4 linked regions of the Elephas maximus indicus genome follow. The protein of the gene in region 1 interacts with the protein of each later gene in a pairwise test. Links are inferred from orthologs where the notes say so. Each region holds a gene or a part of one and is shown in the gene's direction. Other genes may lie near its edges.

The links.
Region 2: the proteins of TASOR2 (region 1) and NEK6 interact in binary tests that used the Homo sapiens proteins (3 or more experiments, as listed by UniProt). The link is inferred for Elephas maximus indicus from reciprocal best matches to the Homo sapiens genes TASOR2 and NEK6.
Region 3: the proteins of TASOR2 (region 1) and ERH interact in binary tests that used the Homo sapiens proteins (3 or more experiments, as listed by UniProt). The two-hybrid records come from large-scale screens. The link is inferred for Elephas maximus indicus from reciprocal best matches to the Homo sapiens genes TASOR2 and ERH.
Region 4: the proteins of TASOR2 (region 1) and KLHL40 interact in binary tests that used the Homo sapiens proteins (3 or more experiments, as listed by UniProt). The two-hybrid records come from large-scale screens. The link is inferred for Elephas maximus indicus from reciprocal best matches to the Homo sapiens genes TASOR2 and KLHL40.

What each region holds. Positions count from the first base shown.
Region 1 is NC_064822.1:53,202,774-53,210,700, reverse strand, and holds the start of TASOR2 (protein TASOR 2), read left to right. Parts: upstream 1-4,536; 5' UTR 4,537-5,182; coding exon 5,183-5,243; intron 5,244-7,927.
Region 2 is NC_064827.1:75,293,525-75,301,412, forward strand, and holds the start of NEK6 (serine/threonine-protein kinase Nek6), read left to right. Parts: upstream 1-4,608; 5' UTR 4,609-4,755; intron 4,756-7,888. UniProt on the Homo sapiens protein: Protein kinase which plays an important role in mitotic cell cycle progression. Required for chromosome segregation at metaphase-anaphase transition, robust mitotic spindle formation and cytokinesis.
Region 3 is NC_064828.1:81,863,740-81,871,398, reverse strand, and holds the start of ERH (enhancer of rudimentary homolog), read left to right. Parts: upstream 1-4,253; 5' UTR 4,254-4,359; coding exon 4,360-4,362; intron 4,363-7,659. Other genes in the region: SLC39A9 (zinc transporter ZIP9), read right to left, coding at 3,094-3,185. UniProt on the Homo sapiens protein: May have a role in the cell cycle.
Region 4 is NC_064838.1:47,155,506-47,163,885, forward strand, and holds the start of KLHL40 (kelch-like protein 40), read left to right. Parts: upstream 1-4,972; 5' UTR 4,973-5,009; coding exon 5,010-6,188; intron 6,189-7,160; coding exon 7,161-7,321; intron 7,322-7,680; coding exon 7,681-7,788; intron 7,789-7,935; coding exon 7,936-8,121; intron 8,122-8,380. UniProt on the Homo sapiens protein: Substrate-specific adapter of a BCR (BTB-CUL3-RBX1) E3 ubiquitin ligase complex that acts as a key regulator of skeletal muscle development.

The sequences.
Region 1 (7,927 bases):
CAGCTAATACCCTACCCCCAGATGAAAAAAGGAAACCCAGAAGTTCCCTCAATCTCTTCCCCCCGGCTCTGGCTCCAGGTAATGCTGGGCCCTCCCCCACAGAGCTAGCCTCATGCCTAGCCCCCAATCATATTAAGAAGTGTTCATATTCACTCCAGGACACAGGAAGAACCAGCTGTTTGCCCCCCAAGTCATGTCAAGGAGCAGCTGTGTAAGCTGCCCTCCCCCCATCATGTACACACACACACACACACACACACACACAGGCTCTGGTCGTGAAATTGAAATGTGAGTGTTCCCGAGACCCCTATACACTGCAAACTTGTTCCTGGTGCTCTTGGTGGCTATGCCCAACGTGCAGCACGCTGGCCTGGCTCTTCACCTCCCGTGTCCACACAGTAATCTTGTGCCCTTTGGTGCAAATGTTGACGACAGCCCCACATGCCTCCTTCTATGTTCCTCAAAGCTCTCCCGTATCAGACACAACAGTGTCTCCAGAGAAGGTCCAGCTCGCTGTGGCGCTGGTGCTTGGCGAGGCTGACCAGCAAGTGGCCACCCTGCTTAATCCTGATGCTTAATCCACATGGGATGGATGCCATCCTTGAACAGAGTGTAGTTGCAACCAGTAGAGTTTACTGGCCAGCTGGATGTGACTGTACGTCTCCCAAAAGTCCTCCACAGTGTCAAACTTGGTGACCAGATGCAAGACCTGGCTGAAGTCATTCTTAAAGAGCCACAGAGCCTACCTGTTCTGCAGGGTGTGCAATTCCAGCTCCACCTCCACTGCCTCCATGGGGCCTTCATCATGGGCCTTACTCCTCAGAGGGAGCAAAGCTGTGGAGGAATTCAGAGCCCCCTTCTCCTCTTCTACCAACACCCCCACTGCTGCCTTCTCCTTTTCCTCCTCTTTTCCTTTCTCCCACTTTGGGATTCTACTTTCAGCCTCTGTCCCAGCAGCAGCTCTCCACTATTCCTCTCTGCCATTAGGCAGCTAACTGGGCCAGCTCACAGCCAGTATAGCAGCTTGCTCAGCTCTCATAGCTGCTCTCTCACATTAGGCCTCTCCTGCATCAGCCCTCTCTGCTACTAACTGGCTTAGCTCACAGCCAATGTAGCAGCTTCAGGATCATTTAGCTCCCCTGTGGTTCTGCTTCTCTACCAGCCCAGCACTTACCCAACATCTCTTTCTCAACTGGGCGGCTGCTAAAACTTACCTATTTTAGCTGTTCGTATATCCCACTCCCCCTTAGTTACAAGGCAGGGCCTCCCTCACCAGACCAGAATTCAACCAAAGGTCAGTCACCCATGAGATGTCAATCAACTCAGGTCTTGTTAATTACCAGATAAAAGTCTCAAAGCATTAAGTTGTTTACAGCTTACCCAGGAAGTGTCAATCAACCTGGGGAATCCCCTGAACAAAAGTAACAAACCCTCTGGGGTAATCAACAACCTGGGAGTAGCACTCCTTTCCCCCAGGCTGTTTCTCCAAAGAACTAGGGCAAAAATAACAATTTCTGAGGGTTTAGGGGAAAATCTCCCAAACTCTTTTGCCAAAGAATCAAGGCAAAAAGCCACTCAAAGGATTGCACCACAGAGGGGGGCAGGAATAAATATGTACTCAAATAAAACCCCCAACTATTATACCCAGCGTGCCTGCCTTCTACTCCTAGGTATACACCAAACAAAAATGAGTATACATGTGCACCAGAAGAGAAGTAAGTACATTCATAGTGAAGTCATCAACTAATAAATAGGTTCTTGTCAAGCAGACAAGAGAATTAAAGCCAGCCAGATGCAGAGTTGGAAGGACAGAAAGATTTATTCGCAGTTTGCAAACTGGGAGACAGGCAGGGTCTTGTGACCTAAGGCTGCCAGCTCCCCCAACTAGGGTAGATTTGCACCTTTTATAGGGAGTGACATACATATGCATGGACAGCAAGGGGAGGATCTTCAGTCTTGCGATAGGAAGATGCACATGAAGTCCGCAAGTGTCGGATGCCTAATTCTTGTTGTGTGGTCCTAAAATGGTGATTTGCTTGCTACTGTCACCTCTGGAAGGTCACATAGCCAGCAAATTCATAATACGCCTGGGCCTCAGCCTCGCACTAGGAAAAGAGAAGAGACCTGGGGATTCGACCAATCAGGTTGAAGTGCTGTAGCAAAAATGTAGCAAGAGTAGGCTTTCTGAAAAACAACTATTATGGGATGGTTAATGACCTTCTCATGACCACCTGGTTCAATAGCAGCATTATTCTTAATAGCCAAGACTAGGAACAATCCAGATGTTCATGAACCATACGGTGGATTAAAAAAAAGTGCTACGGAGGTGAGATGAGATGGCAGAAAGTGATAGGAGCTGGTTGAATGGGCATGGTAAATCTGAGGTGGAAAAGAGTGTGCTGTCACAGTATAGGAATAGCAACTAGGGTCACATAACAATGTGTGCATAAATTTTTGTATAAGAAACTAATGTGAGTTGTAAACTTTCACCTAAAACACAATAAAAAAAAAATAAAAAGAAAATGTGCTATATCCACACCTACTTATATTGCAATGAAAATGAAAAAACACACAAAACATGATGAATCTCATATAGTATTTCTCCAAAGTAATCAGACACAAAGCAATTCATATAAAATTCAAAACACAAGCAAAATTAAACTATGAAAGTTTAGGGATGCATACTTCAATGGCAACTCTGTAAAGAAAAATAAAAAAGATTATCTTGGAAGTTAGAATAGCGGTTATCTTTAGTGGTAGAGAAGGGGGTAGTGATTGAGAGAAAAGGGGAGACTTTGGGATACTAGCATGCTCTATTTCTTGACTGAGGTGGTGTTTTCATGAATGTTTGCTTTGTGATAAACTGTACATTCTGATTTTGTGCACTTTTTTTATTTTATGGTTTATTCCCTGCTTCTCCAGCCAGACCTCTTCAGTTCTTGAGCATGCTTAACTTCACTTCTCAGGGCCTTTGCACTTCCTTTACCTTCCACTTGTCAAGCTCTTCCTCCAGATCTTCCAAAACCAAACCCACTGCCCAAGTCGATTCCAACTCATAGCGACCAGATCTTCCAAGGACAGGTTGATGCAGTTTGTGTCATTCAGGTTTGACTTCAAAAAAAAATTTTTTTTTTGTTTGACTTCAAATGTACCTTATTCAGCTCTGCCTCTTCTGTCCCTGGCCTCCAGCTTCTGCCCCCATTCTCCAGCATTTCCAGTTTGTTTTCATAGAACATATCCTTATCTGAAATTATATTTTGTTGCTGTTTACCTGCTTGGCCTTCAGCTCTAGAGTAAGTTCCCTTACACGCAAGGACCTTGTCGATCTTGTCCTCATATGTAATCCTGGTGCCTAAGACAATAACCTGGCACACGGCTTCAACTGAATGAATCTCTTCCTATTTCCATTGCACCGCACAGTGCCTGGCTCAGGGTATCTGTAGCACTTTATACTTCTCATTGGTATTTATCACAGATAAGGAGAGAGCTGAGTTAATGTTATTTATGGTCATCTTGGAAACCCTGGTGGTGTAGTGGTTAAGTGCTAGGGCTGCTAACCAAAGGGTCGGCAGTTCCAATCCCCCAGCCGCTCAATGGAAACTCTATGGGGCAGTTCTACTCTGTCCTATAGGGTTGCTATGAATCGGAGTTGACTGGACAGCACCGGGTTTGGTTTTGATTTGGTAGGGTCATTTTGGAAACCCTGGTGGCATAGTGGCTAAGTGCTACAGCTGCCAACCGAAGGTTAGCAGTTCAAGTCCACCACGCACTCCTTGGAAACTCCATGAGGCAGTTCTACTCTGTCCTAGATGGTTGCTATGAGTCGGAATTGACTAGATGGCACTGGGTTTAGTTTTTGGTTTTGGTTTATGGTCATCTTGAGCTCTGGTGGTACAGTGGTTAAGAGCTATAGCGAGCTGCAGCTGCTAAACCAAAAGGTCCACTGTTCCAATCTACCAGCAGCTTCTTGGAAACCCTATGGGGCTGTTCTACTCTGTCCTGTAGGGTCCCTATGAGTTGGAACCAACTCAACAAGTTTGGTTTGGTTTGGGTTATGGTCATCTTAGTTCCCTCTGTATAGATCATAACCTTCTAGAGGCGTTTTCCTAGGGAACTAGCACATCCACAAATGTTACATGTGTTCAACACCTGTTAAATTGAAACAAGGATGATATTTGGGAATTAACACATTTTGGCAAGGAAAAAAACAAGCGTCGCGGCAGTTGCGCTGGGAGACCCTTAAAGGAGCCAACACCCACGTCTGTGGTAAAAACCAGCGCCACCGATAGCCCGCGTAGGCACTCCACAGGACGCGTACAGGGTCTTCCCGCCCGCGCCTGCTGCATCTGGCGGTGCGCCAGCCAGGAAAGCCAATCATTGGGCCCCGCTAGCCCCTCGCGCCTGCGCAGAGGGAAGAGGCAAGTGCCGCGTGTACGCCGAACGCGACCCGCGCCTGCGCTTCGGTATCTGCTCTGTGATTCGTTCCTACCTCTAAGGATGATGTTATAGTTCAGTTTTCACTTTCTCTTTTATTTTTCTCATTTTCCTTCGGCCGCGAGGTTTTACTTCCGGTTGCTTGCGATCGTGTGTAAGAAAGTCGACATGTTACCTCAGGCCGTGTAGCGTCACGGGGTTCTTGCTTTTCTATGGCCTTTTCGGGGAAGAATTGGAGGCTTTGCTGAAAAGCGCGGGGGACCTGACGGCTTCGAGTCTCGTCCTTGACCCACCGTTCCTCCGTCCTTTGAGCACCTTAGAGCGGCGTCGATTCGAGAGCGACACAGAGTGGCTCAGGCGCCGCCGCCGAAACCGGGACTCGGGGCTTCCCACTCTCCTAAGTCGTCCCCGCTTTTACTCGTAGTCATCTCCTCCCCGCGTTCTTGGCAGAACGACAGAGAGAAAAGATTGGCTGTATTGCAGGCGAGCTGCAACGTGAATAGGCTTGGGTTCTTTTGAGGTAGAATTTTGGAGAGCTTTTGAAAACTTGGGGTTGAGATCGCCTATTGGAAATTCAGGAGAAGGGGAATATACAGAAGCTACTGGAGGTTTTTATTACAAAGAGGAAGAAAGACGTCACTTTAAAAAAATATATAATTCGAAAATATATGTTATATGTGTCACATTTGGCCAGGAGGGACCGAGAGAAAGGAAGCACGTGTGAAAGGAGCAGACAAAATCTAAAAGCATGGGAAAGAAATCGAACAATTCTCTGAAGTCTTCAGGGGCGGCGGCAGCACAAAGTACAGGTAAAACTTCATCGGTTTTGGGGCGCGCTGTTTTGTGCGCCTGTGTAGACGATTGGAAGGAAGGCAAAGCTCCAGTCTTCTAAGGCTAAATGCATGATATAGCTGCTTGGGACTTTTGTAGTTGCTGTTGGTGGCTTTGCTGTTACACTTTTTAAAATTATGATTGGTTTTGCATGTTTTTCTTGGATGACTGATGAACGCGTTGATGCATGTTTGCCCCAGGGCTTCTAGCCAGCTGCTCTGTTTGGACCCCCTGCTAAGAATTTGCATTTCCACCCCAGATGTACTGAATCACAATCTATCTTTGAACAAGATCCCCCAAATTATTTTTATGTATGGTAAGTCCAGTGGTTCTCAATTTATCATGCATAAGAATTACGTGGGTGTCTTGTTAAAATGTAGATTGTGATTCAGTGTATCGGGTGGAAAGGCAGATTCTCAGCTGCCAGCCCAACCGGAAGGAATCGGTTGAAGCCCTGAGCTGGAGTGAGAGGGGTTGCTGTTTTTCTGGAATCATCTCTCCTTTTTGAATAACTCGGTCTTTTGCAACCTGTCGGCATTCTCAGCGCTGCAAACGTAGATCTAAATTGTTTCTAGGAAGTCACCATTTTACTAGTTCGTATAGGGCTTCAAGGAACCCTGGTGGTGCAGTGGTTAAAGCGCTCCGCTGCTAACGGAGAGGTCGGGAGTTCAGATCCACCAGCCGCTGCAGAAAGATGTGGCAGTGGGCTTTCCTAAAGATTAAAAAAGCAACTAGACCAAATCTGTTGGGGTCCTATGGCACTCCTATAGGGCAGACTAGAACTGCCCCACAGGGTTTCCAAGGAGTGGCAGATGGATTCGAACTGCCAGCCTTTTGGTTAGCAGCCAAGCTCTTAACCGTTGGGCCACTAGGGTTCTCCATAAAGATCATAGCTTTGGAAACCCGTGGGACACAGCCCTTCTCTGTCCTGAAGGGTCGCTTTGAGTCGCAATCGACTTGATGGCAACCGGTTTATAGGGCTTCAATGTTCGTCGTTCTTCACGGTTTTGAGAGCAAAAGCGTAGAACAGTTGAAGCATTTGTTTTGAGTTACTCGTCAGAGGACAGCTTCATCCTCATGGGTGTTATGGCTATGTTTTAAATAGTTGGCAGATATTACTCACTTAGTTTGGACTCGCTAGAAAGTAATTTTATACGGTTTCTTTCTTTTTTTTTTAGAGCATACGCAGCAAAACTTTCACCAATTCAATTTCTACTTGTATTTTTCGGTGATATTGATCACACTCTGCACCTACAGGGTCTTTGTGAAAGTCTGGTGCTCAGGTTTCTTTCTGAAGAGACTTCAGGGCAGTGCTTGACCTATTTTTTCAGTAGATGTAAAAGAAAGAGGTCTATCTGCATGGAAGATTATTAAACAAAAAAATTGGGTAATGCACAAGGAATGTCATAATGTTGGCCTGTGCAACTCAGCATTTTGTCTGAAGGTGGCACTAAACAGCATTTTGTGGGAAAACGTGGCATGTTAACCTCATAATTTGAGGAAGATATTTTAAAAGTCCTCAGATTTCTCTTAATCACCACTTTATTTGTAATCTGTAGATTTAGGTAAGCTTTTCTTACCCTTCTTAATTCTCCCTGTAAGATAAAATTAGAATGATAAACTTTTTGAAAAATATCGTACCAAGTATATAACGTTATTGTGGTTTACCATTTAGTGACCTGAGGGCCCATGGTGTTCCAGAAGGATTAAAATGGAAAAAGGGGAGGATCGTGGTATTTAATATTACAGGATGTGAGGCTGGCTGTAACCCTGCCCACCAGGTTTGTAACAAAGCTAAGACAGGCCAGAGAAGAAATAAAAAGTGAAAATATGTTTGTCCACAATTATTTTAAGAAAAAGACAGTGTTTGAAAGGTTGTATTTTCTATTTCTGTAGAATTGATTTCTTATGAGAATGTGGGATAATATGCTTTTGAATTTCCCTCAGATGATTGTACCGTTTTATATTCACTCTCTCAAAAAGGTGTGTTTCTGTCTCCCTGCTAGCCAGCACTGTATGTTAACAATATATGTATTTTTATATTTTGTCAATTTTGTAACTGAAAAGACTATCTCATTTAAATTTTATATGATCCTTAATAAGAAAGTTGAACATTCTGCTGCTTCATACCCTTTGCTCATTTTTTATTGTGTTCTGAACATACTTCTCTGACTCATTTAGGTATTACCATACTGTTTTAATTATTGTAGCTTTATAATATATTTTGGTACTTTGTTTTTAAAAAAGTTGTGGGTTTTCCTTTTCCATTTTCTCTTGCAGATGAAATTTAGAGTCATCTTTTTACAAAACAGTCTATAGAAAATTTCATTAGGGTATAGTTTGTGATCGCATTGAATTTGCAGATTAATTTGAGAAGAGAGGTCCTTTGGAGTTTTTCTTTCTGGGGAATAGGTGTATCTCTACCTGTTTTTTCTCTTAGAATTTTTGTTGTGAAATATGCCATTGAGATGCCCAGTTTAAAAAAAAAAAAAAAATCTGTGTATCCTACTTAGTAAAACCCAGTCACCCAGTGCTGTCGAGTCAAGCATCACAAGTTCTTTAGAAGCCCTTTGTGTGCCTCTTGAAACAAAGCATTTCCCACCGCTATTGCTTTGGTCATCTTGGATTTTATCTTAATTATTGTCTTGCTTTTCTTTATACT
Region 2 (7,888 bases), on another chromosome or scaffold:
GCCATGAATATGGTTTGACTCGATGGCAAGCGGTTGTTATTATAGGTGCCTGAAGCTGAGAGTCAAAAACTACTCACTCCAGAGCCAAACCTCACACATGAGCATGGGGGCCATTCAGGCCGTTGTTCTTCCTTGCCTCTGCAAAGTTTTGTTTTTCTTGTTTTGTATAAGTCCTTCAGGACAGGGGCCACTGCTGGAACTTCTGTTATCTCTCACAGTACTAGACCAGTACAATGCTAGATATGGTTTAAATGGGAAGATTTTGTAATGCTATGCAGTCATAAAAAAGGGAGGCACTCTTTATGAACTGATAGGAAATTGTCTTCAACAAGTGAAGAAAACACAAGTGGGTATATGCTACCATTTGTGCCAAAAATAAGAAAAGAAAAAAATATATATACGTATTTACATGAATGCATACCCACACAAAACACAGCTGTATGGCTGGGCACAGAGCTCATTGGCAACATTGGTTCCCTCCTGGAAAAGGAACCAGGTGTCTGGGGGTAGGGGTGGAAAGGAAATTTTTACCACGTACCCTTCTGTACCTGTTGAATTTTGAACCACGGGCAAGTATTATCTATTCAACAAAGAAATCAAATTAATATTGTAAAAAGTTAAAATAGCTAAATATGGTCAGTTCGATTTCCCAGGGTGCACCGGCAAATTAAAATCCTAGAAAGTCAAGGTTGGCAGGCTCTTAGATACCCACCCCCATTTTGCCAGTAGGGAAACTAGGCCCAGAGTCACACGGGGACGGAATGGCAGAGCTGAGGTTGGAGGGAGGGGGTGTCCCAAACTGTAGCCCTGACTCCTTCCAAGCCAGCAGCCGCCCAGTCCGGTCCACAAGCCAGCCAGGTTTGCTGCTAATGAAAATGTGACTGGAGCTTCAGAAACTCTTGTGGAGTCCTTGGCCAGATCCGCAGACATTAGGATGTGAAGGCAGGCCCAGCAGACAAGAGGCCCCAATTATGTCCTTGGTATCATGTCAAAAATGAATCCAGCATAGTGATTACGCAACGCTGTGAATGAACTAAATGCCACTGAATTATTCACTTTAAAATGATTCATTTTATGTCATGTGAATTTCATCTCAATAAAAAGACATGAATCCCCCAATTCAGTGCCCTTCAAAAACAACCGAAGTCTATCATCCAAACCAAGGCACTTTGAGAGTGAAAGATGGTGCCATTAATAATCACACCCAAACAACAAACAAAACAGACTTCCTGGGCTCTAGCCTCCCTACCAGAATCCTACCATCTGGAAGCTGGCAAAGAGACATTTTGAACTAAGTACCGTCAAAGGAACTTGACCTGATTCCTCTTCTTCATGTGTCCCCTCCTCCCCACAACTCTTTCCCCAAAATGCTGACAATAACATAGGTTTTGGGCAGACCCGGGTTCAAATCCTGTCTGTATTCAAACCACTTCTGAGTTTCCTTATCAATAAAACATAAATCATGACTCTGATCTCAAAGGGTAGCTGTGAGAATTAAATGTCTTGCACCTAACCGGGCACGGAGAAGGTCTCCGCAAGCTGGAGTTTTTCTTCCCCTCATGTAGAGAAATAGTGAAACGACGCAGGCTTAATTCTGAAACTCTTGGGGGGTGAACAGAGAGACCAGATTCACAAACACCCCCATGGGAGGAAGAGTCTGGGCACAGTGCGCAGGGGGACGTGGATTTCTAATTCTAGGAGTCATTTAGGGAAGCACCTCTATGCAGTGACTCATTCGGGGACTCACTAAAAAATCCTTTGAGTTAAAATCAAAAGTTGAGTGGGGCTCAGGTTGCCTTGTGCCGTTTCCCTCTACTCACACCCTGGCCTGGGTGGTGACAGTAGTGCAGGGATTTGGTGGGGAGTGGGGGAATCTTTGGGTGCAATTTAACCGTTTTTTTTTCCCCAAGTATACCACCAGGGGTTGGGACTGTCTGAGTGAAGGAAGTGGAGGCCAGAAGGAGGAAGGCCTGGATGACTTCCGTCCTCCTCCAAGTCCTACTGCTGTATCCTTCTGTCTCTAGAAGACTTTAGTGAACCCCCCACCTCCTCCCATTCCTCAATTAGAGTTTGAGGGCCAGTGGGAACAGTGCGGGGGGGGCAAGGCCTCCTCATTCCCCTAACATCAGCTCAGCTGCAGTCAGACTCATCTGCGCTGATTGCTGTCTCTATGACCTGGGATATAACACTTGACCTCTCTGAGCCTCAGTTTCCTCAACTGGAAAATGAGGGCATTGCAAGCACACATTACTGGGTCCCTGAGAGTCAGGGAAGGGTTTTGCAAATGGTAGAGGCTTATGCAGATCTGTGCGTGGGGCCGGGTCTTTCTCTTCTCAGTGGTCTAGTGCTGCTCCCAAAGTCTTCTAAGGGCTTGAGGTTCTTGCTCCATAGCTTACCAAGATGAGGCATGCATCCTTGGGGAGCGTGGGCCTACCTGACACACAGTAAGCCTGTGGCTGATTCTCTCACTTCTTTAGGCAGGCCTCTGTTCAGACGGCACCTCATCAATGAGGCTTGCTCCAAACAGCCTCTACGAAAAAGCCCTCCTGGGCTCTCCTAACCCTTCCCTGTTTTATTTTCTCTACCAACCTTATCTTCCTAAGATGCCAGATACTTATGGTTGTTTGTTTTCTCTCTCTCCCATCCCAGCCTGAAGCCCCAAGAGAGTCGGGGGTGTATTTTGTTCATTACTGTACATTACCTGGCCCATAGAAAATACTCACAGATATGTGTCAGGTGAATGAATGAATGAACTAATGTTTGCTGCATGACTATGACCAATATCATGGATCCTGCTAGTAGTACTGCAATATATTGCCCCAGAACTTCTGTTTCTTTCTATTACTTTTTTGCACTGCTTATTTCTTATACTTATGGCTCGGTGGGAAAATTCTGTCTTCCATGTGGTAGATCTGAGTTTGATGCCTGACCAACGCACCTCATGCGCAGCCACCAGCCGTCTGTCAGTGGAGGCTTGCGTCTTGCTATGACGCTGAACAGGTTTCAGTGGAGCTTTAAGACTAAGACAGACTAGGAAGAAAAGCCTGGCCATCTATTTCTGAAAATCAGCCAATGAAAATCCTATGGATTGCAACAGCCTGACCCACAGCCAATCCTGGGGATCGCACAGGAGTGGTCAACATTTTGTTTGGTTGTGCATGGGGTCACCACTAGTCAGGGCCTTATCCAATGGCAGGTAATAACAACAACATTTTCTTACCCTTAGCTCTTTGATTTATCTGACATTTTTTGTGGTATATATCACGTGAGGCGAGGCTATAAATGGAACTAAACAGCTAAACAATTTGCAGAATGATCCACTTCTTCCCTGTCAATTTGCGAAGTCTCTGTTTTTCATTGACGGGGAGCTGCGACTGTGCTGGCAACTCTGAGCCAGCTGCTGCACCGTCTGCAGCTTCTGCAGATCCCCAGCCCAGAACTATGTTGCTCATAAGGCAAGACTGCCCGGTGATCAGGCTCGCAGGCACTGGAATTAGGCAGCCTGCTGTCCACCCTCCAGCTCAACCACTTACCAGCGGTATGACTTTGAATAAGGGAATTCACTTTTCTAAGGTTCACTCTAAGTCTCATTTGCCCCATCTGTGAAATGGGCACAGTGGTAGCATAACCCCTTCACAGGGCAGCTGTGGGACTGAACAACACAATGCAGGCCAAGCGTGCAGTAAGGGGTCCAGCATACAGTGGATGCTTGGCTGGTGCTAATTATTGCCGTAGGTCATCCCCAGTGGAAGCATGCCCACTCGCTGGGCAGATGGAGGCCCAATGGACATCCACTCTGCTCAGCACAGTGCTGTGGCCAAGCTGAGTATCTGGCAGGCAGGGTTGGTCCCTGCTCTCAGCCATCCTGGGGGAAAGAGCCAGAGGTACGTGGAGAAGAGGCAGCAAGTGTGGTGAGAGGAACTATCCGACCCAGGAGAGTCCTCACCTTCACGGGGTTCCCCTAGTAAGGGAAGCAGGGAACTGAGTTTCTCCAACCTTTGGATCCCCATGGAGGCTGATCTCCTTGAAGGGAGTGTTGGGTATTCATTAGTGGGGTCTTTTACTTCTCAACTCTGCACACTGACTCTGTCTGGACCCGGGTCCACAGGAGGCCGGGAGCTCCAGCGGAGAAGACTTTTGTGCTTTAAGGGCAGGAAGCAGTCATCGTTGCACCACCTTATTCTTGGCTTTTTACTTCACTGCCTGCCTTCAGCTGGCACACAATAAGTTCTTGTGGCTTGCCCAATTTCAATATGACCAGTGCCGTGATGGGGAAAATGCTAGGTGATAGGGGACCCCAAGAAGCGCGTGGGAGGGGTTCATGGGTTGGCTGATTGCAGCCCCTCATCCTAAGTGCCTAGAAGATGCTGGGCCTGACTTGCTGTGTAAGCTTGCGCCTCAGTTTCCCCATCTGTGAAATGGGGGAGGGGGCCGGCTGAGTGGCTTATTCGCCATTCAGAAGGTCTGCTGGGGAGCCGAAGGGTCCAGGAGCAACGAAGGCGCTGCCCGGGCGCGCCCCCCCCACCCCCCTCAGCCTGCGTGGCGGCAGCGCGCGCGAGCACAGGGGGCGGCGCGGCCCCGCGGCGGGGAGGGGCGGGAGCGCGCGCTCGGGCCCGCGCAGGCAGCGGTGGCGGAACCGAGCGGACGAGAGTGTGGCCGCCGCGCGGCCAACTCGTGTGAGACCCGCCACTCCGGCTGGCCCGCAAGTCCGCGCGCGGGTCCTTCCGCCGGGCCGCCGATCCCGTCCGCGCGCCGGTGAGTGGCCTGGGCCTGGGCCGGGCTGGGTAGGGGTCGGGGAGGGGGCGGGGGCTGGGCCGCGGGGCCGTCACCCCACACCCGGGCCCAGGCGAGTGCGCGTGCACACGCGCGCGCCCGAGGCTCCGCGGGGAAGAGCCGGAGGGTGTGCATGCGTGAAGTTGGGGGTGCGCTTGTGAAAGTGAAAATCTGAGCGTGTCTGCGTCGGTACGCGTCCGAGCGTGTGAGGGCTGCGTGTGTCCCGCTGTCCTCAGTTCCTCAGTGTGTTCTCAGGAGTGTGTGCATGCCTGCGCCGGAGTTTGTGCGTGTGCACATCAGTTTCTGGGTTGTGATTTTTGGTGTGAATGAGTGCTGGAAAACGACCATCGCTCTCGTTTATCCACTTAGGGGATGTTTACTATGTGCCCAGGACTGTGCCAGGCTGTTCACTGTGATCTCATTTTTGTGACGTAGTATGTGTGGATCGTAGGGAGTATGTGTGTGTATGCACATGTATGAATGTGGTATTCACAAATGATTTGTGTGTGCATTTACGAGCCCGAGAAGACAAAAGTGTGCATATGTGGATGTGAGTGTGTGATTTGTGTACAGGAGTGTGTGGGTATGTTTATTATCAAGGGTGATGGTTCCTCTGGGCCCACCAGGTCTATATGTGTGATATGCCTGTTGCTGGCCCAGATGTCAGGGAGCCCGTGGAGAGAAGTTGACCTGGCGTGAGCATGGGGTGGGTGCCAGGGCCTCACTTGGTGAATGAGGGACCAGAGGACAGACTCCCAGAGCCCCATTGAGCCTGGGCAGAGGTCGAAGCCTCTTAGCCAGGCCTGGGCAGGACCACTGGCAGGATCCAGGACACACAGGCTGGGCAGGAGATGTGGTAGGCTGGCAGAGCCCTTTGGCCGGGCACCAGAGGATGTGTGCCTGGTTTTCTTAAAGACCCTTCTGGGTCTCCACTTTGTCTTGGCTCTCTCTGGCCTGGCTGGCTTTTAACCCTTTCCCAGGCCTGGAGGTTGACCCTGGTGAGTCCAGCAGTACTAAGACATTTGTCTGTGCCTATGGGATCTGTCTCTGCCTGTCCTGCTAAACAGATAGATATTTGTCTGATTGATATGTATGGCACCTGGGCTTCAAGCACAAGTCTCCAAGACAGTAACAAATTCATCACAGCAGGCTTGGGACACCATCTTCCAAGGTGTCTCTCCTTGGAGCTTTGAGTGACAGTGTTTTGTGCTTTATAAATGCTGAAAATCTTTGTAGTCCAAAGTCTTTATTGCTCTAAGGCAAACTTGAGAAACTCTGTGGATCCCCATTTCCTCTGCATTTTCAAAATTCAGCTTGCCTTTCTGAGGGGGAAAATGTCGTCTTAGAAGCTCGGCGTACGCGCAGGCAAACTTTGGAGGCACGTTTAAAAACCCCGTAGCTAATGGAAGAAGAATTTCATTGAAAGGGACACAGAGCCGGCTGGAAGCGCCTGCTCCCAACGCAGCAAGCTCACCAAGTGAACTTTGGACGTCTTCTTTTAGACAAACAAAACCTGGAAGGAAACAAAAAAGACCCACATTCTTTTGCTTTTTTGTCTGAAAAATGGAAAAAAAAAAAAGACACACACCTTCTGGGTTTGCTGGAAACGTGGCCTTCCCCTTCCCCCATCAAGGCCAGGCCCTCCCTCAATCCCCCACCCCCAAATAAAATACGCCTGGGGAGCTGTGGAATGAGTCACTCCCTGGCAGAGGGCCTCACGGGCAAACATTTGGGAAGGTTCTTGCCTAACTTCCCAGAAGAAAAGGCCCAGGATTTAAAATGGTCCCTGTGGTTTGTCAGCCTCTGCTGTCCCGTCTGCTTTGGAAATGACTAAAAAGAAGTTTCTATCTTTACAAAATAAAGTCTCACTATCCCAGGTTGGTTTGGGTTTGGGCTTAGGGCTGTTCAGGGTTCAAGAAATGTAGTTCCTGGCTTTGCCAGATGGGCATTTCGGTGGGTTTGAACACGAAAGGAGAGCAGGGAGAGGGGAAGGGGACTCACATTTGTGGAACACCTACCATGTGCCAGGAACCATCCTGGGTGCTGTTGTTAATCCTCCCTATAGTCTTATGCTGCAGAAAATGGCCTTTGGTTTTATGCATGAGGAAACTGAGGCTTGGAGAGATACACCCTGTATCCTGGGACAGCTGAAAGGAGGTGGAGGCAGACTCTCAAGCTGCCTGCCTGACCCTGCAGCCTGTCCTCTGTCCATTGCACCAGGGATGTGACATTTGACTTCCTCAGATGTATAGACTCGGTGCTGAGTGCTTTACACACATCCACTCATTGCATTCTCACCTTGAGGTAAGGGCTATCTCCATTTTACAGATGAGAAAACTGAGGCTCAGAGAGATGAAACGACTTGCATAATTTTGTCAAAGTAGCACTGCAACTAATGGCCATCATTTATTGAGGGCATACTGTGTGCCAGGCACCAGATTAAGAACTTTAAGTGCCTTATTTCATTCAGTCCACTAACCAACACTATGAAATGGAAACTGTCATGATTACCATTTTACAGATGAGAAAAGTGGGGTACCAAGCCAAAAAAAACCAAAGCTGTCGCCACTGAGTCGATTTTAACTCATAGTAGATTTTGACTCATAGCGACCCTATAGGGCAAAGTAGAACTGCTTCATACAGTTTCTAAGGAGCGCCTAGAGGATTCAAACTGCCGACCCTTTGATTAGCAGCCATAGCTCTTAACCACTACGCCCCCAGGGTTTCCAACTGGGGTACAGAGAGATTAAATAACGTGTTGAAGATCACGCGCTAATATGCAGTAGTTTTGAACCTAGGCCTGTCTGAGCAGAGCCCATAGTCTTCCTGCTGTACCTGGAAAGTAACTGTCACTACATACTGTGTGTCTGGCCTGATACTAAGGTCCAGTATTGCTACCTTGATTTTATAGAGGGGAAGACGAAGACTCAGGAAGGTTAAGGAACTTGGGTTGGGTCATAAGCTGGTAAGTGGCAAAGTCAGGATTCAAACCCACATCTCTTACGTTAGAGTTGAGGTTCGTAACCTCAAACCAGGTCTGGCTATCTTTGTTGAGCTTTTTGCCTCTTGAATGCTGAAAAGCCAAGTGGGTTGAGGCACTCCAGGTTCCTGCAGG
Region 3 (7,659 bases), on another chromosome or scaffold:
CAAGATAGGGGGGAAAAGGAGCTGGTTGAATGGACACTGGGAATACAGGGTGGAGAAGAGGAGTGTGCTGTCTCACTAGCGGGAAAGCAACTAGGAGTACATAGCAAGGTGTATAAGTTTTTGTATGAGAGACTGACTTGTAAACTTTCACTTAAGGCACAATAAAAAAAAAAAGTTTACAGTGAAAAAAAGGCATACTTTTTCATGTAAGCAAAAGTGAACTATAAAACACATTAGGTTTACTTTCACCTAAAGCACAATTTAAAAAAATACATTACGTTTACTTGGTCTTATTTATAAAAACATTGGTCCAAGAAAAACTGTTGTCATTAGCAATTGTTAGTTGTTTTCAAGTTGGCTCCGACTCATGGCAACCCCATGTATAAGAGAACAAACATTGCCCAGTCCTGTGCCATCTTCACGATTGTTGGTATACTCGAGTCCATTGCTGTGGCCACTGTGTATTTTGAGTGCCTTCCAATCTAAGATGCTCATCTTCCTGCACTATACTGAGCAATATTTTCTAGTGGTCAGTAGGATTTTTATCAGCTAATTTTCAGAAGTAGATTGCCAGCCCTTTCTTCCTAGTCTGTCTTTGTCTGGAAGCTCTGCTGAAACCTGTCCACTATGGGTGACCCTACTGGTATCTGAAATACTGGCAGCATAGTTTCTAGCATCACGGCAATATGCAAGCCACCAGAGTATGACATAAACTGGCAGATGGGTGGTGGAAGAAAAGCTACACTTCCTTAAAAAGGCTAGGTAGGAGTTCGGGGAATTATTTCCTAAGGATAGAAATTCTGCTTCCGAATCCTCCTGAATTAAGTTTATTTTTACAAATTTATCATCTCACTAGTCACAATACATTGGTCTATTATAGTAGTACAATTTGCCTAGAAAAAGGTGCTTAGTTCTGGGAGACAGAAAACACCTGCTGAATTCTAAAATGTCTCTAAGTTACTAATGTTCATTTTTATTCTAACAGCTCAAAATGCATTGCTCCTGTCATGCTAATAAACAGATATTATGAATGCTGATGAACAACATTTTAAGACCCACAACTGAAAAAGACCATTTCACTATCAATTAAAAAGAAAAGAAAAAACCAAACCTGTTGCCATCGAGTCGATTCCGACTCATAGCGACCCTATAGAACAGAGCAGAACTGTCCCATAGAGTTTCCAAGGAGTGCCTGGTAGATTCAAACTGCTGACCTGTTGGTTAGCAGCCATAGCACTTAACCACTACGCCACCAGGGTTTCCACCATCAATTTAGAAAGCCATAAATGACATGGCACACTAGTTATCTTTATCAACTGCCCGGCTAGTAATAGCACTCATGTAGACATTTCCTCCCAGTGAAGAATAGCATATACTTGCATATTTTAATGTTCAAGAAAATACTGAAATTTGAAGAGTTCTAGGCATTTCGTAGAAATAAAAAGTTTTAACATTTGCTTATTTACATTATAATTCTTGATAAATGTTACCTACACGTTTTTAAATACACAAACCACCCCAAATCTCACAAATGTCAGCCCTAATAGTATCAACTCAATGCTAAAGAAGTTTATAACAAAATATGGCTTAAGTCAGAAACAAGCTAGCAGGCTCATAGGGCAGGCAAATAACTAAAATAAGAGAAGTAGGCTTCACAGACCAAGGAGGATCTTGACCATCAGCTGCTACTCAGCTCTAGCCAACTGCTGCCTTGAGGGAATACAGGCAAAAAATAATAATAATAAAATTAAACACTCTGCTAACCTAATAAAGCAAGTCTGTAAGCTGGATTTGGTACATGGCTACCTGTTTGCTACCTTTGCTACAATGTGCAGGGTGGTTAAGAATTAATCTGAGTCAGAGAAAACTACATTTAGAGAACAGCTCTAACACGCTGCATGAGTTTAGGTCTAAGTTATAAAACCTATCTAAACCAGTTTCCTCATATATGCCTCACTAAGTTTTTAAAATGAAGTTAGCTTTGCATGTACTCAAAAAAGTTAATTAACATTAGGTGCTAAGAGGTAAGACACAAAAAGAAACAGGGTAGGAGAAAGTGCAGTTCAAGCCTCCTTTCCATCTGGCTGTGGGCTTTACTGTCCCTCAAACTCATAATGCCTAGTCCCACTTTCTTTCCCACCCACAGGCTATTTTCTTCACCAGCGATGCCTCCTCTTCCCTCAGGTTTCTTCAAGGCCTAACTCACACCTGGTCCTTACCTTTCCTTTCTACTTCAGGCCAAACCACTCTCCCCTTTCCTTTGCACTTTCAGGAGGGTAGGGAAGCGAGGGCCTATTTTATTGCTAAACCCCAGGAAATTATCATAAAATCCTGGTACCTGTGACTCTAGTAGTTTTTTCCCCTAAATCTTTGAGCACTGTGCACTTTGTGAATTCTCCATGACAACTGAAACAACCTATCTGCATTTTCACTGAACACTACCCTTCTCTTCCCCTCTGATTATTTGCTTAAAGAATGACAAATAACCAAATTACCCAAAATGTCAAAACATATTAACAAAAAAACCATTTCTAAGGAAAGAGATTTGAAAACTTAACTTTGGAATAACCATTCCAACATTCTGCTTCTTTAAAAAGAAATTTGAGTTAACGACAATATAGGTTTTTTTTTTTTAATCTTACACTTGTTCTAGTACCGGTGTCCAAAAAACTAGCTTTACCAAAAAAAATTATGCTTGACTTTATCAAAAAGAAAAATTACACCGATTTCAACTCATATTTCTTGATAGCAATCTGGAACCTTAATTCCTTGGAAACTCTGGGAATCAATTAAGTTATGGTGCCTCTCTCAGGAAAATGCAGAGCCCTCAAATTTTTGTCTACAATTTCATGAGGACCCCCAGGTTCAGAATACCCCAGATTTCTGGTGGATCCACCCATCCCACGTTAAAAACTCTAGTGCTGAATGAGATTTGTTTCCACTATTAAACGTTAGGTATCTTTTTTAAAAGACAGTCTTCCTTCATGAAATCCCTCAGCTCTGAGATTAACTTGGGAAGCTGCTTCCCTTCATAACTGTCATTACTTCCCAGCAGCCAACCTGAGAGCTGACAGAATATTGGTTATTTCTTACCTCTGAGAAATTAACAGCCAAAGGAATGATTCCAGCCACGTAACATCCCACCAACATAGCGAGGGACAGCATACTAATGGAGATGAAATCATCCATTCTGCCCTCCTTTATTCACCCACCACCACCAGACAGACTATGAATTTTCAGTGGCTTCAAAAGTTGCTTAGGTTCTCAAGCACGCGCGGTGATTCCAAGAGAATAGGCGGGCTCTCCAGTTCTTTCGGCCTCCCCACCAGCAGATCTGTTCTCGAGGTACCTCTGGAAACCCCTTTTTGCTGATAATAGCACCAGAGAGAACTTTCAGCAACCTTAGGTCCCAGCCTCTGGGTTCCCAGGTGCCAGACACTGGATTCCCGTGAGTTAACAGAAATGGGAAAAGTCAACGGGGAAAATATGAGAATGAACGACTTCTTCAATCGTCGGAATGAGAGTGGCACAAGGAGTCCACTCCCCCCACAGACAATGTCCCAGATGGCAGCAGGAAGAGGAGGAAAACCCAAGAGAACCTGTTCGTCTCCCGGCCCCCCGTACCCCTGAGGCAGCCCAACGGTGATCCCCCCAGGGCTGGGACCAGCCCACCAATCCCGGCAAACTCCCCTCCAAGTCTTGTATGGGGAAAGGAGTCCTGCAGGTCTCTAACACGACGGATCCGAAAGGTTCAGCAGCGAAGCTGATACAAAGCTGTCTCTGCCCTATACCCGCTGCTGCCCATGACACTCCACTCCTCCGAGTCTTGACCCGAAGACACCGATACTACAGCTGCCATGGCCGCCAAGTGGCAACTCTTCATTACATCCACTTCCGGATTGCCCCACCGGTTCCCCCCCCCGAAAGGCATTTCCGGGTTACAACCGACCTATGGCCCGGTATACTTATACGGCCGCCATTTTTTAGTAAAAATATTAGTAAGGCCACTGAAAAGGACTTGTTCCCGTCTATACTGGTGATCACTCTGGCCGAATGTCTAACAACCAGAGTACGGAAGACGGCGTCTTAAAAAAAAAAAAAAAAAGGACCCTTTCTCAAGCTACGAAACATTCCGCGATGTATCTAAGTCGCCCTTATCCAACATGGCTGAAACAGAGTCGGTATCTGCTCTAGCTACCGGAAATATGTACGCCTCTATGGTCCAAAAGGCTCTTTCCGGTTGCGATTTTGACGAGTTCCGGCGGCTCCTCTCGCGGGGATTGGCTGTTGGCGGCGTTGTGGCTCAGCTCGTGTGCGGTGGTGGTATCTACAGCGGCTGCAGCGAAAGAGTTTGGCACGATGGTGAGAAAGGCCTCCCCGGCTACCCGAGCCCCCACCCTTCCTGGCCCCTCCAGCCCCGTACATCTTCCATCCACCCCAGTCCAGAGCGAGCGTGTTGCTCCCCGCCTCTCCAGCGCGTGGGTCGACCCTTTTGCTTCCCGCCACGGAGTCGCCGGGCCTTGCTCTAGGCCCCGAACCCTGGGCCAGCTCTAGGGTTGCGCGCCGGACCACTGGCTCGGAAGAGGCGCGCCGTGCGTCTAAGGATGCCCTTACTCCCGCCAGCTGCTTGGTAGAGGGAGGCGTAGGGATGGTGCCCTTTCCCTCCAAACGCTCTACCCTGGTGTAGGAACAATGGCCGAGGGATGTCTATCAAACCTATCCGAAGCTGACATTCCACTTCCTGCACTCGCGTGGGGCCTGGAGGGGTCGTGTTTGCTTTGTGGCGAGTTTTCTCAACTATTCCCCTTTTGCTTTTCCGTGTTTTGTCGTTCTCCCCTTAGGTTTTTACCCTTTTCTAATACATCTAGGTGTCCCACTTGTTTCCCTCAACCCTACCCAGTTGAGAAACCAAACCCATTGCCTTGAAGTCGATTTTGACTCATAGCGATCCTATAGGACAGAGTAGAACTGCCCCATAGGGTTTCCAAGGCTGTGTAAGTCTTTACCGAAGCACACTGCCACATCTCCCGCTTGAGCTGCTGGTTTAGTTTGAACTTTAAGGGTTAGTAGTCGAGCGCTGAACTACTTGCACCGCCTGTTGTTACCCTTGTTTATATTCTGATGGGACTGGAGTCTGAAAAGGTAGGCTTACCCGAGGTTCCAGGTACTTAGAATCTGGCTGGGGTGGTAGTGGAATGGGTGTTTTTTTTTGTTTTTTTTTTTTAGATCATCAGAAGAGGGATGCCTACAGGGCGTCTGGTTGCTGGTTTTGTAACTACCAGTGCAGTTATTGCTAACGATGAACTATGCCTAGTTGCACTTTTTGAATTGAGATTTTTCAGTGCTGACTCAATCTAGTCTCCCAAAAAGGACAAGGAATCAGAAGACTGTTTCCAGTTTCTGTTTTGCCATAACTAGCTTTGTGACTTTGGGCTTGTCATTTTACTCGTGTAAGTTTCCTTCTTCTTTGGTTGTATGTCCCCTCTTTGGTATTGTGTTAAAATTCAGCGATCAAAGTCTGAGACAGTTACAGCAATTAACATCAACAACTCATTCTTGAATAAATGTTAGTAATATTTCGTCATCAGCTTTGAGTAGAATTAAAAGTTAGAATTTATAATTAAAGTGGATAATTATTGGTTTGAACACCGTAAGTACTAGAAGGTGCAAGCTTCGATTTATTTTTGTTTTTTGTAGTTTGGGAAAATACTGGATGCCAGTGAACAGATCATAGGTATTATAATATTGCAACAGTCAACAGCAGAATGACTGTTCTCCTGTTTGTGAGACTTCTAAAAAGTAAACAAAGTCAGATTATTTATCAGAGTGAATCACAACTGCTTGGTAATCTCTCAGGATAAAGGATTTTATTAAGAAATTATGCATAATTTTTTTCACATTTTGGTTTGTCACAACTGGTTTTTCCTATTATAAATAGAAAAAAATATATATTTATTGTACTGGCCATTCCCCCAGGAAAGACTGTAAGGAATGCATGGACCAAATCTGCCCAGAAGTAAGCGGGGGGCGGCGGAGGGGGGGGGAACTGACAAGACATATGTTTATATTTACTAAAATAAAACAAAAGGGTTCTGAAAAGAACAATAAGAAGAAAGTGACCAAAACCACTTTGGGAGATATTATGATCTTTAAAAATTGCTAACAGGAAAGCACTGCCACTTAAAAATGATAATTTAGTTATGTCGCATATTTAGTAGTTTTAATCCATGTCTTTGGGTAATAAATACTGAAATAATAAGCTTTGCCTAGAGCCTTATTTTAAGACTAGATATAAAAAGAAGCATATTATGTAGCCATTTCCGTATGTTACCCTTTCAAATAGTCATTTAATTTGCATTAGCATAAGAATTAATATAATAGCAACTGATATAGCTACTGTACGGAACCCTGGTGGTTTGGTGGTTGAGAACTTGGCTGCTAACCAAAAGGTCGACAGTTCAAATCCACCAGCTGCTCCTTGGAAACCCTGTAGGGCAGTTCTGTTCTGTCCTATAGGGTCACTATGAGTCGGAATCAACTCCATGGCAACAGGTTTTTATAGCTACAGGGCAAACCTTATTGCAGGAATGCTAATGTGATTTCTATAAAATTATTTTTTTCTTAACAAATGACTCACTGAAACTGCTTTATGGGGGGTTGATGGCTGATGATAATGTCTACATAACAGGTAATCTAGTATAATGCTTTATCTGGCTTTAAGTCTAATCACTTTAACAAAGGCTTTGTATACAGGTCTGCATAGGTGAGGTCAATTACTCTTAATCTCTTGTCACCAAGTTCTCATTTGATCTCAAATCCTCTCAAACTTTTTATCAGCATAATTCAGTTTTAGATTGGGAGAGGGAGTATAATAACCCTTTGCTACACATATTATGTTTAAAGTACTGTTTTCCAGTTGCTTATTCAGAAAGTCTGGATATCAGCTATTTTACCTCCAATTTGTTTGCCATTAAAAATTCTGATCATTTCAAAACAGTTTGAAAGTCCTATCATTATAAATGAGTTTTTGTTTTGTCCAAAAATACTAGCTAGTACAGCAAAAGAAGAGAATGATTTGGAATTGGGTTTACAGTGGAGTTGCGTCATACTTGCATTTAATTTGTCAGTCTTATACACTTGGCAAAGATTGGGTAGGGGAATATTTCAATAGACCAGTGATTCTCAGCCAGGTGCAGTTTTGCCCCCCAAGGGACATCCGGCAATGTCTAGAGACATTTTTGGTTGTCACAAGTTGTCTGGGGAATGCTACTGGCGTCTAGTGAATGCTACTGGCGTCTAGTGAGTAGAGGCCGGGGATGCTGCTGAAGATCACACAGTGCGCAGGACAACCGCCCACAACAAGGAACTGTTCAGCCAAAAATGTCAGTAATACTAAGGTTGAGAAATTTCAAAATAGACCCACTAACAAAAAATGCCACCACCCCTGCCCCTCAGTGAGCATAAGATGGAAGAGTGAGTTGGGAAGAAAATATAGGAAAAAAAAAAAAAAGCAGTACAAAGTAGCTTATGCTGAATACTTACAGGCAGTAACTGCAATAGGATTTTGAGAAAAAAGCAGTCATTAAGGACTGGGGGTACTAAGGAAGACCTTAGGAGTTGCAGATCCAGCTTCTGATGCCATGTATGGGCAAAGGCATA
Region 4 (8,380 bases), on another chromosome or scaffold:
CCATTCTCTTTCTTCTCTCTTTCTGGGACTCCAATGATACAAACATTGGGTCTATTGTTATTACCCCATGAGTCTTCAAGGCTTTTTTTTTTTCTTCTTCTTCTTATTCTTCAGTCTATTTGTTGCTCTGTTGTTCAGATGGGGGAAATTTTGTTGATTTGTCCTCAGGTTCACTGATTCTATTCTCTGTCATCTCCACTCTACTATTGAGGCCACCCAGTGAGTTTTTGTTACTGTATTTTTCAGTTCTATTATTTCCATTGGAGCCCTGGTGGCCCAGTAGTTAGGAGCTCGGCTGCTAACCAAAAAAGTTGGCAGTTTGAATCCACCAGCCACTCCTTGGAAACCCTATGGGACAGTTCTACTCTGTCCTATAGGGTCACTATGAGTTGGAATCGACTCGATGGCAATGGGTTTGGATTATTTCCATTTGATTCTTTTTTATAACTTCTGTTTCTTTGCTGAGATTTTTTGTTTTAAAAGAATTTGTAATTGCTTGTTGAAGCATTTTTATGTCAGCTTCTTTAAAATCCTTGCCAGATAATTCCAACATCTGATTAATCTTGGTGTTGGCATCAGTTGGTTGTCCTTCCTCATTCAAGTTATGATTTTACTGGTTCTTGATCAGTAATTTTTTTTTGTATCCTAGACATTTTGTCCATTATGTTATGAGACTTTGAATCTTTCATTTTAGCAGGCAGTCACCCTGATGAGGTTTAGCATGCAGCCTACATTTGTGGGCCGTGATTCCAATGACAACTTAATTTTCAGAGTCTCTGCAGTGTTATTTTCATCTGCTTGCTTTATCTGGTGCCACTGGGGCTTCCACTAGTCCCTGGTGGTGCTATTTGAGGGAGTTACCAGGCCAGGCCAGACCACCCAATGCCTTTTGGTCGGGGAGGAGAGTCTCAGACCTGGTGTGGAAGAAGAACACTTCACCTGGTCACTTACTGTTAGCAGAGCTCTTGGTCAGTTCCCTTTACTGGTGGTGCTCGGCTTGCCTGGTGATGTCAGAGGGACTCCCTTCAATCCAGGGAGCTCATACAGTGGACAGTGGGGAGTGGACTCCAGAGGTTCTAACAGTGCTGTCCCTCAGCCAGTCTCACCAAAACAGATTCTACATGCTCCTGCTTCCACTTCTGAATTGAAGTCTGGGATCACTGAACAGGATTGGTGGAGTTCAGTCATACGTCTGTGTCTCCAGCTTCAAGGGAAGCTGGGAAAAAAAGCTCTGGTTTTTACCTTGGGGAAATGGCACTACTGATATAGGAACTGCCCCAAACATAGGAAGGCCATTTGAGAGATGTTGGAGGCCTCCAAGTGTGACAACAGTCTCCCACATATGGACATATAATAGGACTACTTAAGTAAATACTCAATGGCCAGGTCATAGCCCAGACCCTACATCTTTGCTGGCATGCTGGTTCTCCACCAGAGTGGGGCCTGCTCATGCAAGAGGGATGCGGACTTTATTGGGTTTCTTGGTACATCAGTAAGGTGTTCCCTGAGCCCGGCAAGGTGAGTGCAAGTTGTCTCTAAAACCTCGCATGGTATTTCTCTTAAATGACCCTTTCCATGTGATAAGACTCCTAATGAAGGCAGAAACTATCAGTTAAAAATATGAGTAGACGATCTGGATGAAGCTTAAATAACTATGTTGAGTGAAAGAAGCCAGACCAAAAAAAAGAGAGTACACAGTGTATGATTCTGTTTATATAAAACAGTAGAAAATGCAAACAAATTATAGTGATGGAAAGCAGATCAGTGATTGTCTTGGATGAAGGGGGTGGCGGGGAGGGATGTGGAGAAGGATAAAAAAAAGAGCACAAGGAAACTTTTATGTATAATGGATATGTTCTCTATCTTGATTGTGGTGGTGACTTCATGGGTGTATACATATGTCAAAACTTAACAAACTGTACATTTTAAATACATGCAGTTTATTGCATGCCAATTGTACTGCAATAAAGCTGGACAAGGAACAAAAGAAGACGGAAGAAGAACTGACGCATTTGAGCTGTGATGTTGACAAAGAATACTGAATATTCCATGGGCTGCCAGAAGAATGAACAAATCACTCTTAAAAGAAATACAACCAGGATGCTCCTTAGAAGTAAGGATGGTGAGATTTTGTCTCATTTACTTAGGACATACCATCAGAAGGGACCAACTGCTGGAGAGGGATATCATGCTTGGTAAAGCAGAGGACCAGCAAAAACAAGGGAGACCCTCAATAAGATGGATTGAGACAGTGGCTGCAACAACGTGCTTGAACATATCGCCTATTATGAGGTTGGCACAGACCAAACAACATTTCGTTCTGTTATACATAAAGTTGCTATGAGCTAGAATGGACTTGACAGCACCTAACAAAAACAACAAAGCTGGGTACCTATGCGCATCTCCCCTGGGTGATGAATAGAGTGGGTGGGGGTAGAGAGGAAATAAGATTTGCCCTGACTTGATGATGTGGGTGATGGGTACATCAAAGGTCATCGCATTACTCTCTCTACTTCTGTATGTTTGAATTTTCCATAATAAAAAGTTAAAGCAAACAAACAATGGCTCCCTGTTTCATTCAGGGGAGAAACCAAAGTCCTTCCACTGGCCCACATGGCCCTACATGATTCCCCAGACTCACCTCTCTGCCCTCATCTTCTCCTGCTTATCTCATTCACTGCTGCAGCCCTCTGGGCTCCTTGCAGTTCCCTGAACAGGACAGGCACTCTCTTGCCTCAGGGTCTTTGCTTATGCCCTTCCCCCCTGCCTGGAATCCTCCTCTCCCATGGCTTGAACCTGCCTAAAGGTGACCTTCTCAGTGAGTCCATCCTGACTATTCCATTTAAAACTGTTACTATCCTATACCTGTCACTTTCCATGCCCTCTTCCCTGTCTCCACAGTAGTTATCATCTGACGTCCTGTATAACTATTTATTTGTTGCTGTCTCCTCCCCTTCCCCAGAACGTAAGCTCCATGAAGTTAGGAATTCCTGCCTGATTTGTTCACTGCTGAATCCCCAGCATTGACAACAGCGCACAGTAGGTTCTCGATGAATGAATGAGCAACATATAAATATTCTAGTGGCATGCCTGGTAGGGAGTGAGCACTACGGGATTCATCACAATCTAAAAATACCTTGCTGAGTCATTTGATAAATATAAACTAATTGTTAGTACCTTTTGTCCTGGCCTTTGTAAAACGAGAATACAATACATACACACATTGGTTAGTTAATTCATAGTGAGTATTTTAGCAAGGTAGGGAAGGATTCCCATGGTTTTGGAGGTGGGCAGACCTGGTTTGAATCCTGGCTCAGCCACTTGCCAGCTATGTGACTTGGCCAGATTGCTGAGCCTCTCAGAGCCTAGTTTCTTCACTGATGTGCTTGCTGGAAATGTCTGCAGTCTGGGATGGCACAGAGCTGACCTGGGAGCTCACCCCCTGCCCTTCCTGAGCGAGCCCTTGCCCCTTTGGCAAGATCGTCAGGAACACCTCCAAGGCCTGCCCAGGTGCTGTGCCCCCTTGGGACCTGTTGGTGGGGTAAGCTAGCGACAGGTGAAGAAACTGATAAGGAGGGACAGGCAGTGATATCCTGAGATCACAAAAGGGGAGGTGACTCAGTCCTGACCCAGCCCTACATTCTCCCCCAGCCCCCTCCCCCCAAGCCTGGGGCTATAAACAAATGACTCAGGAATGATGGGGGAGTGCTTCACAGCAGTTCACACCGGTGCCCCAGGGGCTAAATTTAACCCGCAGCTGCAGCCTCTGGCACTTGGGGAACAAGTTAATCTTGGTGGCTGAGGCTGATGTGTGTGTGGGGGGTGGGGGTGTCAGGAGTCCAGGGCAGGGTAGGGACTAGGACTGGCTGTCCAGGGTCTCAACCCAGACCCCTCAGACCGTAGCAAGGGCCCTGAGGCCAAGCAGGGCTGTGCCAACTTCTCTGTACTGGGCATAGGGCCCTTCCCCAGGCAGGCTCAGGCCATGCCCAGTATAGCCAAGACCAGTGAGGACAGACAGCTAAAGTCCTGGAATATTACAAATATTAAACTTTTAAGAAGGTTACTTTTTTAACATTAGAATCCAGAATGTCACTCCCCTAGAATGTTAAAACTCGGGGGCTTGAAACACCTGGAATATTAGAATCCTAGGAAATCAATATTTTAGCATGTCCCTCACCTTAAAATGTTAGCGTATACTCCCAGGAACACAACACCTCGGAGCTTCTGAACCTCAGCAGTGCCCAACTGAGGCCTTAGAGCTCAACTCCCCATCTCCTCATTGTGTATGAGGGGAAACTGAGGCTCAACAGGGAGACCTGACCTGCCCCAGACCCCACAGGAAAGTGGTGACCTTGTTTACCTAAGATAGTTCCTTGCAGTTCGAGGAGGGGCTCAGAGCTGGGGCAGAAAGGGGAAAGTTCTCCCCATTTTAAAGGTGGGGGCAACAAGGCCGCCACAGGGTGAATGCTATAGCCAAGTTCACAGCAGTATCCAGAAGTGGCTGGAATGGGATAAACTAGAGAGAGGAAGAAAGGCCCGAAAGGCATGAAAGAAAAGAGACCCTGGAAGAGGGGCTCCAATGCTTCCCCCTCCCTCAGCTGAAAGTCAGAGCTTGCCGTCCCTCCCCTCGCCATCCCACCCAGGGGTATTGCCCAACTAAGGAATCCAGAGTCAAGGCCTCACTGCGTTCTATTCAGAAATGTAGCAGCGAGGCCCTCATCTTTGCGTGGAGGGTCCAGACGCTCTCCACCATCACCCCACCCCCACCCCCACCCCCACCCCATCCCATGAGTCCCCTGGACTGAGTCAAGGCTGCTGGGGGAGAGGGCCTCTGGCCAGCTGTCCCCTCCACGTCATCCGCAGGAGGCCAGACTACTCGCCTTACAGGCCTAGGCCGCCTCTATATATAGCCCATCGAAGACAGCTGCGCAGACCCAGAGTGCCTCAGTAGGAGGGCAGGGGAGCACCGAAGTCCCGCGTCCCAGTCGCCATACCCTAGGCTACCCACCATGGCGCTGGGCCTGGAGCAGTTCGAGGAACAGCGCTTGTACCAGCAGACACTCCTGCAGGACGGGCTCAAGGACATGCTGGACCACGGCAAGTTCCTGGACTGTGTGGTGCGGGCGGGCGAGCGCGAATTCCCGTGCCACCGCTTGGTGCTGGCCGCCTGCAGCCCCTACTTCCGGGCGCGCTTCCTGGCCGAGCCCGAGACCTCGGGCGAGCTGCGCCTGGAAGAAGTGTCCCCCGACGTGATGGCCCAGGTGCTGCACTACCTGTACACGTCGGAGATCGCGCTGGACGAGGCGAGTGTGCAGGAGCTGTTCGCCGCGGCGCACCGTTTCCAGATCCCGTCCATCTTCACCATCTGCGTGTCCTTCCTGCAGAAGCGCCTGTGTCTTGCCAACTGCCTGGCAGTCTTCCGCCTAGGCCTCCTGCTCGACTGCGCGCGCCTCGCCGTGGCCGCCCGCGACTTCATCTGCGCCCGCTTCGCGCTCGTGGCGCGCGACGCCGACTTCCTCGGCCTCTCGGCGGACGAGCTCATCGCCATAATTTCCAGCGATGGCCTCAACGTGGAGAAGGAGGAAGCGGTATTCGAGGCAGTGATGCGGTGGGCCGGCGGCGGCGACGCGGAGACTCAGGCTGAGCGCCAGCGCGCGCTGCCCACCGTCTTCGAGAGCGTGCGCTGCCGCCTGCTCCCGCGCTCCTTCTTGGAAAGCCGCGTGGAACGCCACCCGCTGGTTCGCGCCCAGCCGGAACTGCTGCGCAAGTTGCAGATGGTGAAGGATGCGCACGAGGGCCGAATTACCGTGCTCCGCAAGAAGAAGAAGGAGAAGAAAGAGAAGGAGGGAGCCGGAGCCAAGGCGACTGATAAGGGCATAGGCAAGGCCAAGGCCGAGCCCGAGGCCGAGAAGGAGGACGAGGAGGAGGGCGAACGTATCCTCCCCGGGATCCTCAACGACACCCTGCGCTTCGGCATGTTCCTGCAGGACCTCATATTTATGATCAGCGAGGAGGGCGCCGTGGCCTACGACCCGGCCGCCAACGAATGCTACTGTACCTCCCTCTCCACCCAGATCCCCAAGAACCATGTCAGCCTCGTCACCAAGGAGAACCAGATCTTTGTGGCCGGAGGTATCTTCTACAACGAGGACAGCAAAGAGGACCCCATGAGCGCATACTTTCTGCAGGTGCCAGGCAGCCCTGGGAGGGGGCAGCCAGGGCCAGGATCTGGGCACTGAGGCAGCCTTGGGCGCCAAGAGAGGACTGTGTCTACTTGTCAGGGAATGTCACTGGTTCTAGGATAAGATGTAGACCAGGGAGACTGACAGCTACTTGCCTCAAGGTTGGGGAGAGCCCGAAGCAGCTGACTGAGCTGCACTATTTTGGGTGTCAGGGTTTCAGGAGGATGTGAGCCCCGGGATCGTCTGGTTGGAGGCCCTGGCCCTGCACATGGGTTGGGGTCAGGCACAGTGAGGGGGAGCAGGGCCAGCGCAGGGGTCCTGGGTAGAGTGTCTGCATGAGACCTAGGTCTGGAGCCTGGAACACAGGATGTCCCAAAGGGACCATCCTGTTTAGTCCTCCCATTGTACAGATGGGGAAAGGAAGGGCCAGTAGAGTGCCCAGTTCAAGTTGGGGTGTGACTGTGGAATCTCAGAGCGCTGGGATGGTTTCCTGGAGACCAGTTTGAGCCTTGTCAGTTGGGTGGAATTTAGAGACATGGAGAGGATGGTGGTGTTTCTGAAGGACAGGTAAAGGGGAGATGGTGTGAGCAAGGAACAGACAACAATGAGGACTCTGGTGAGTGGTGTGCTCAGTGAGGCCTGCGCAGGTGCTCGAGGGGGGAGGGGCAGCTCGGTGCCAGGGCGCAGCCCACAGCTGGGTCCCAGAGCCCCCTCCTCAGCTCCACCTTGTGGTGCCCCCATCACATCGCTATAATGGTGGTCCCTGGGCACCTACCTCATCACACACCCCAGGAAGGCCTCACCTGCTCTTAGCCTGGAGTGGAAGAGGGGTACTGTGTGGCGAGGAGGACACCTCCAGGCTGCGCTGGCCCTCCCTGAAGTCCCGATCTCCTTTGTGACCCGGAGTGGCAGGCGGGACTGGGCTGGGGCTGGAGTGGTGAGGGCGGTAGCTGATTGGACGCCCGGCCCGGCCCACAGTTTGATCACTTGGACTCCGAGTGGCTCGGGATGCCGCCGCTGCCCTTGCCGCGCTGCCTCTTCGGCCTGGGAGAGGCTCTCAACTCCATCTACGTGGTCGGCGGCCGAGAGCTAAAGGAGGGCGAGCTCAGCCTGGACTCGGTCATGTGCTACGACCGGCTGTGAGCGCGGGCGGGGCGGGCTGGGGACCCGCCGGGGAGCGGGCTGGGGGCGGGGCCGGGGCCCTGGGGCCGAGAAGCGGAGGTCGGCGGGAGACCAGAGGCCGGGGGCTGGTCCTACACGGGGGGGTGGGGGCTGGGAAGCCAGCGCCCAGGGGTTGGGGCGGGGGCGGGGCCATGGCCCTGGGTGGTGGGGTGGGGTGGGGTTGGAGCGAGGAACTGAGAGGTCTGGGGACTTCCTGTAGTGCATTGGACGCACCTGGAATATGTGTTGGATGGGTGGATGAAAGGAGAGACGGATTCTGAGCGCACGGTCTGAGCCGAGCGCTCGCCCCAACTCCATCCTCTCCCGTCTTCTCCAGGTCGTTCAAATGGGGCGAGTCGGACCCGCTGCCTTATGCCGTGTACGGCCACGCGGTGCTCTCTCATATGGACCTTGTCTACGTCATTGGTGGCAAAGGCAGCGACAGGTGAGGTTCGGGCGGAGCAGAAACAGAATCTCCCCGAGCTGTCACGGCTTGACTGGCTGCGCTGGGAGGGAGGGGTGACTGGGCCGAGGGAGGGGCGGCTCTGTTCCCCTTCCATCCACTCACTCACTGCCTCCTCCCCTCCCACAGGAAGTGCCTGAACAAGATGTGCGTCTATGACCCCAAGAAGTTCGAGTGGAAGGAGCTGGCACCCATGCAGACTGCCCGCTCACTCTTTGGGGCCGCGGTCCATGATGGTCGCATTTTTGTAGCTGCTGGGGTCACCAACACTGGGCTGACCAGTTCCGCTGAGGTGTACAACATTGCAGACAACAAGTATGGCCACTGCCCCGCCCACCACCCCAGGAAGGCAGGATAGCTGTGTGCTGTGCTATGTGGCTTAGGGCCTGTGGTTGCCCTCTCTGTGTCTGCCCAGATGGGGGCCAGCCCCCATCTTGGGTCTCAGCTGTTGAGCTTGGACGTCGCCACAGTAGTGGCATCACTAGGGAGATGCCGAGGGTGCAGACCGCACCAGGTGACACTATCAGGGGGAATGGACACCAAAATGACTGAAAAATTTTTGTGCAGTTTCATC